Callithrix jacchus: one gene and its partner. The protein of the gene in region 2 purifies or fractionates together with the protein of the main gene of each other region. This does not show direct contact. Links are inferred from orthologs where the notes say so. Each region holds a gene or a part of one and is shown on either strand. Other genes may lie near its edges.

What was found.
Region 1: the proteins of DNAJA1 (region 2) and ENDOG purify together in Homo sapiens (affinity purification with mass spectrometry; 3 studies listed by BioGRID and IntAct, counting the BioPlex papers as one, with this or other methods). This does not show direct contact. The link is inferred for Callithrix jacchus from reciprocal best matches to the Homo sapiens genes DNAJA1 and ENDOG.

Annotation. Positions count from the first base shown.
Region 1 is NC_133502.1:177,413,355-177,417,267, reverse strand, and holds the start of ENDOG (endonuclease G, mitochondrial), read right to left. Parts: upstream 3,115-3,913; 5' UTR 2,933-3,114; coding exon 2,426-2,932; intron 926-2,425; coding exon 816-925; intron 1-815. UniProt on the Homo sapiens protein: Endonuclease that preferentially catalyzes the cleavage of double-stranded 5-hydroxymethylcytosine (5hmC)-modified DNA.
Region 2 is NC_133502.1:140,228,388-140,231,400, reverse strand, and holds part of DNAJA1 (dnaJ homolog subfamily A member 1), read right to left. Parts: intron 1,870-3,013; coding exon 1,754-1,869; intron 1,440-1,753; coding exon 1,339-1,439; intron 1-1,338.

The DNA of each region.
Region 1 (3,913 bases), about 37 Mb from region 2:
ATACCGGATGAGAGCTTCCCCTCAGCAGTCTCCTCCCTTGCCGCAGGTCATAGGAGGCACCTTCTAATGAAATTTCATCAGTGCCCCAACCACTGCCTTGGCCAACCTGTGCTAACCCCTTACCATGGGCCAGGCCCTGGGGAAGCATGTGACATCAACCAAGAGGTCACAGGTTTTGGCCCTGTTTTGCAGGGGAGGACACAGGTCATTTGCCCACAGCACCAAGGGACTAGGTGACAAGGCCTGGATTCCATCCTGAGCCTATGGATTCCAGAGTGAGGTGCTCAGCCTCGACCTATTGCCTCTCAGTCCCAGGCCTCCGCAGTCCAGAGAAACCACAGAGCATGGCCAGAGGTGCTCAGTCGCTTCCACCTGGGAGGCAAGGGTGGAGGCCCTGGGTCAGGCAGATCTGGGTTCAAACTCCTAAGGGTGGAGGAAAGTGCTCCAAGCAGAGCAGAGACCGAAGGTGGGAGAGCTTGGTGCACCAGGGAACTGCAGGGGTTTCCATATGAGCAGAACAGCATTGGGTAGGTGTGGCAGGAGGTGACAGCAGGGAGAAGTGGGGGCAGATCCAGGGCCTGCTGCTGCCCATGGCCAGAGGAGAGATGGTAGGAGGGTACCCAAAAGGTCTTTGGCTGTGGAAATGGAATGAGGGGACCAAAGGCAGGGAAGCTGACAGACTTGCCAAGACACCAGATGAATAGTGAACAGGTATTGACCCAGAGCCTGGGGCAAGCCTGGCCCTGTGAGGGACAGTAGGGGCCTTGAGTGAGTGGGAGGTCCTGCCACCCCCAGCCTCCTGGTTTCCACCTCACCTGGGCAGGAAGAGTGGCCCTGTGCAGACATAGACATTCTGGTAGCTGCGGGTCAAGCTGCGGCTGTACTTCTCTAGGTTGTTCCAGGCATTCTGGTTGAGGTGGGGCACCTGGGAGGAGGAGGTGGGGCTTAGCAGGACTGTGGCTGGGACCCTTCCTCCTCTATCAGATGGCTGCACTGGGCCCTGAGGGAATGGACATGCCCAGAGATGCCCAGTGGGGGGCAAACATGAGGAAACTGAGGAGCAAGAAATGAAAGTCACTCCCTGAAGCCACATGGAGTCGGGCAGGGCTGACAGAGTGCTAGCCATCACCTGTCCCTCCCACAGCCCAGGTGTCAAAGCTCCCAAGAACCGAATGAAGGAAGGGGCATGTGTCCACCTTTCAGAGAGGACTGAGGCCTGTCCTCAGCCCCACCAGGGGGCTCATGGGAAGACCAGCCCTCCCAACCACCAACACTTTTCTTTTCCCAGTCTGAGCCACAGAAGAGCCTAGCTGGGAATGTTATGAATCTGCCTCCATCTTGAGCTCTCCAGGCCTTGGACAATGGAAAGTGGGTAGGGGGCTGTGCTCTGGAAGGAGGCTGGGTCAGAGGCTGCTACCCCATGGGCTCCACCCAGAGCCCCACGGCAGCCTCCATCCTCTGGTGCTGGGCTCTGCTGAGAACAGGTCAAGAGAGTGGCTGGCCCAGGGTGCACAGTGCTTGGCACTAACACCCTGACGGTGGGCCAGGTGTCTGCTTCGAAACCGATCCAAGGCAGGCAGTATAGGACGATGTCTGGAGACCCACGGTTTTATAGACCAGGGGTCCCCAACACCTGAGCCACAGACTGGTACCAGAACTGGGCCACATGGGAGGTGAGCAGCAGAAGAGCACCGGAAGCTTCACCTGTATTTACAGCCACGCCCCATCGTTGGCATGGCAGCCTGAGCTCCGCCTCCTGTCAGATCAGTAGCGGCAGGAGACAAGCCGGAAACCTATGGTGAACTGCGCATGCGAGGAGGTTGGGCGCTCCTTTTAAGAATCTAATGCCTGATCTGTCATTGTCGCCCATCACCTCCAGACAGGACTGTCTAGTCTCAGGGAAACAAGCTCAGGGCTCCCACTGATTCTACATTACGTGAGTTGTATGTTTCACTCTATATTACAGTGTAATCATAACAGAAATAAAGTGCATGATAAATGTAATGCACTTGAATCATCCTGAAACCTGCCCTGACCCACCAAGCCGTGGAAAAACTGTCTTCCAGGAAACCGGACCCTGGGGCCAAAAAGGTTGGGGGCTAGGGTTCTACCCAGACTGTCTGCCTTCTGCTGTGTGACACTGTCCGTCACTTTGCCTCTGTGAGCCTCAGCGCCGCATCACTACTGCGGGAGGAAGGTGAAGAACGGTACTGCCCCATTTTTCAGACGAGGAAAGCGACGCTCCGGGGTGCCCAGGGTTCGCAGTTGGAGCTCAAGCCCTGGTCGGCGTGCAGAGCCGCAGCCGGGAGCCCAGGGCTCCTCCCTCCCGCCACGGAATGCGGAGGGCGCGTGGGCAGCTGCCCCATCTACAGAGGAACAAGCCGAGGCCCCGCATTCCGCGACCCGCCCAGGGCGGGGGCGCTACCTGGGGCGCGACATTGCTCAGATAGAACGTGTCGTCCATGGCCTTCTGGCTCCAGCGGTGGTTGGCGGCGGCGGCCAGGTGGCCGCGATCGAAGCCGCTGCCGCGGTAGTCCGCGTTGGTGGCGCGGTGGTACGCATGCACCGAGTCGTCCTCGCGGAAGTCGCAAGCGCGGCGGTCGCCGTCGCCGCGGAGCCGCTCGGGCCGCAGCTGCTCCACCACCCAGAGCGCGCCGCGGGTGCGCGGGTCGTAGCACAGCACGTACGACTCGCGGCTCTTGAGCTGCGCCAGCCCCGGCAGCCCGTACTTAACCAGCTCGCTCGGGCCGCGGCCCGCGGGTTCCCCCGGCACGGCGGGCAAGTCAGCGGCCGCCGCCACGGGCAACACTGGCAACCGACCCAGCAGCCCCGGCGCAGCCTGCGCGTCCTCCCGACGCCGCCGCCAGCTCTCGGCGGCCGCGCCTAGCCCCGCGCCCAGAGCCAGGGTCAGGCTGGCCCGCAGCGCCCGCATGGCGTGGGGGCGACCTCCGGTGGGCGACCCACGAGCTCTTAAAGGAGCCGCGCCGGGGGACCCACTGCAGGGACCGGGCTGCTAGGACCGCGGGCGAGAGTGACTTCGCTTCCAATCACAAACGCTCCCAAGAGCTTGAGAGTCAGAGCCCAGAGGGGAGCAGCCGGCCCCAAGCGAGTGTCCCCGGCGTCCTTTCTCTGCGTATTTAATATGCGGCCTGAGGGGCGTGGCACCCTCACCTTAGCTCGCGATTGGCTCAGGTCAGGTCTGGCTCCGCCCCCACACGCAGGCGCCCAGCCTGTCTGGGGGCGCCCCCTCCTCTGCGCCTGTGCAAGGACCTCCTGCTTAATAAGCACCTCGGCAAGGTCCCGCACTGTCGAGCGCTTTTATTGTCACTGCTTAGTCTCACCCTTTACATGGCCCAGAGAGGGAGCTCCTAGCTCGTAGAACAAGCACAGGGCCCCAGAAATATCTAGCCCCAGGCTATCCTCCATGACACCATTAAAATAAGCCCCGCAACTCTACCAAATTGGCAAAGGTTTTGTTTTTTGTTTTGTGACGGAGTTTCGCTCTTGTTGCCCAGGCTGGGGTTCAGTGGCGCGATCTCAGCTCACCGCAACCTCCCCCTCCCTGGTTCAAGGGATTCTCCTGCCTCAGCCTCCTGAGTAGCTGGGATTACAGGCACGCGCCACCACACTCAGCTAATTTTTGTATTTTTAGTAGAGACGGGGTTTCATCATATTGTTCAGGCTGGTCTCCAACTCTTGACCTCGTGATCCGCCCGCCTTGGCCTCCCAAAGTGCTGGGATCACAGGTGGAGCCACCATGCCCCGCCGAAGCTTTTAAATATATTTTGAAGTCAGGTAATGTGATACCTCCAGCTTTATGCTTTGTTGTTTGTGTGGCGTTTGTGAGAAGGGGTGTCGCTCTATTGTGCAGGCTAGAGTGCAATGGTGCAATGACAGCTCACTGCAACTTCTG
Region 2 (3,013 bases):
TACTTATAACCACCATTGTTCTATCCAGCAAACTAACTTTGAATACTAAAACCCGTCCTGAAACAGTCTAACTCTTCTCATGAGGTATTTAAGAAAGCTACTCTTACTCTCAAAAGGGTAGTTCTTTCTTATCCAAAGATATTTTTAGGCCTGTAATCTCAACACTTTGGGAGGCCGAGGTGGGCAAATCACCCAAGGCCATGAGTTTGAGATCAGCCTGGCTAACATGGTGAAACCTGTCTACTAAAAACTCAAAAATGAAACCCATCTACTAAAAACACCAGCAGGTGTGGTGGCAGGTGCCTGTAATCCCAGCTACTCAGGAGGCTGAGGCAGAATTGCTTGAACCCAGAAGACGGAGATTGCAGTGATCCAGTATCTTACCACTGCACTCCAGCCTGGGCGATAGAGCAAAACTCCCTCTCAATAATGGGGAAAAAAAGATGTTTTAATTAATATCTTTTGTGATGAGAGGCCAATTTAAGACTGAAATTGACTGGATTGCTTTATACCTATTAACAAATCAAGCATTACACTATTTTGCCATGAAATCTGCAATTATAAAGTGCCTCTAAACTTTAACAGTTACAACTTATAATTAGTAAAATAGCCACTTGTCCAGCACACCCTTCCCACAATCTGTCTTTAAGTATCCAATTAATGATGCAAATACCCCATCCTCAACCTGGTTAACAAAGAATGCTCACTCAACATTAGTAGTATTAGATAAAATTGTTTCGAGATAGGGTCTCATTTTGCCACCCAGGTTGAAGTACAGTGATACAATCTTGGTTCACTGCAGCCTTGACCTCCTAGGCTCAAGCAATCCTCCCACCTCAACCTTGAGAAGAACAATTGCACTACAGGTGCATGTCACCGTACCAGGCTAAGTTTTGTACTTTTTGTCGAGATGGAGTTTTGCCATGTTGCCCAGGCTGGTCTTGAACTCTTGAGCTCAAGTGAACCAACTGTCTAGGCCTCCCAAAGCACTGGGATCATAGGCGTGTGCCAGAGGCATGTAACCAGATCAGTGTATTAATTGCTGGGTAAGGAAAAATATAAACTTCAGATTGCTTGGCATTCAGAAATTTTAATTCTCTCTCTTTTTTTTTTTTTTTTTAAAAAAGACAGGGTTTCACTATCTTTTCTAAGGCCGGGTTGCCCAGGCTGTTCTCAAGCTCCCAGGCTCAAGATATCCTCCTGCCTCAGCCTCCCAAAATGCAGGGATTACAGGCATGAGCTACCATACCTGGCTGAAATTTTTACATTTTTTATTTTAAAAATCAGAGTTTAGTAAGCCAGTTGTTCTTCTCAAATATAAAGTACTTTACAGCTTACCTTAAATTCAATGATTAGGCGACCCTTTTCATATGGTCTACGATAAATTGGCATGCCTTCATTTAGTACACACTTGATATCTCCATGCTTGACAATCTGACCTAAAAACATTGAAGCCAAGTTCTTCTTTAAGTATGGTCACATTTTTATGAAGCAGAGAAAATAAAGAACAGAGAGCATTGTCCTAGCTCACTGGCAGAAGTAAAACTTAGGTGGCAAAACAATCCTGTTACTTTTCATGTATGGGTTTTTTAAGGGCAGACAAGAGAGCCAAGACCTTATAACTTCATCTCAGCCCAGGAAATGGTACGTAACCAAGGAAGAAAAACAATGCGTTTCCCTCTACTGTGTTATCAGGAGACAAGGAAAATACTAGAATAGAAAAGAGAAGCTTAAGCTTGCCTAGTTACCATACCTGGATGAGAGGTGATGACTATGGTTCGGTTGTCAAGAGTAGATATCGGCTTTTGGAAGCCACACAGTGCTTCAACCAGCTGTATGTCCATACACATGAAAAGGTCTTCTCCTCGTCTGCATAAAATATGACACATATTTACATTTTTCAAATCACCAATCAGTAGATGTACCAAAGCAGGCTATTGTTTATTGGTTTAATAAAAGCAAGGGTGTCTTTTGTAAAGATTCTCTTTTCTTCCCCCATTGTAAAAATCAAACAGAGCAGAGATATGGGAATAGCACACATGTAGAACTTGCCAGCCCTGTTTCCTAGATAAGGATTCAAAGTCATTCCACACACTCTAGGCAGCCTTTACCATTTACCATCCCTGAATTGTTTCATTACCTAATTTTTAATCTAGTTTCTCAGAGGGAAAAAAATAACAAAACTCACAAGAGTGAGGCTTAGGTTGGGCGGTGTAGTTCACACCTGTCATCTCAGCACTTTGGGAGGCTGAGGCGAGTCAATCACCTAAGGTTGGGAGTTCAAGACCAGCCTGGTCGACATGTTGAAACCCCTTTCTACTAAAAATACAAAAAAAATTAGCCATGTGTGGTGGCACACACCTGTGATCCCAGCTACTCAGGAGGCTGAGGCAGGAGAATCACTTGAACCTGGAGGCGGAGCTTGCAGTGAGCTGAGATTGTGCCACTGCACTCCAGCCTGGGCAGGGTCCTAGATAATTTAGACTCCATGAAATTAAATAAGGGGGTTATATGACCAATTTATTTTTAATTGACTTTAAGAATTTCCTCATTGATGTACCTGAAATACAGTTCCTGGCACACTGTGAGTGAATACAGCCTTTCATATTTAACAGCCCACTTCCTCCTCATGCTTAGACTTTCCTCTTTTCCAGCCCACATTAATAAAATATCTTTAATCTTTAATACTCTTCTCAAATGACAACATCAAAATCCTAAGCTTGACAACCCTTTCCATTATCTTCAGACATTTGTGAAATACTTTGTTTTTTTGAGACTAAGTTTCACTCTTGTTGCCCAGGCTGGGGGTGCAATGGTGCAATCTGGACTTACTACAACCTCTGCCTCCCTGGTTCAAGTGATTCTCCTGCCTCAACCTCCCAAGTAGCTGGGATTATAGGTGCCCACCATCACGCCTGGCTAATTTCTGTATTTTTAACAGAGATGGCATTTCACCATGTTGGCCAGGCTGGTCTCAAACTCCCAACCTCAGGTGATCCACCTGCCTTGGCCT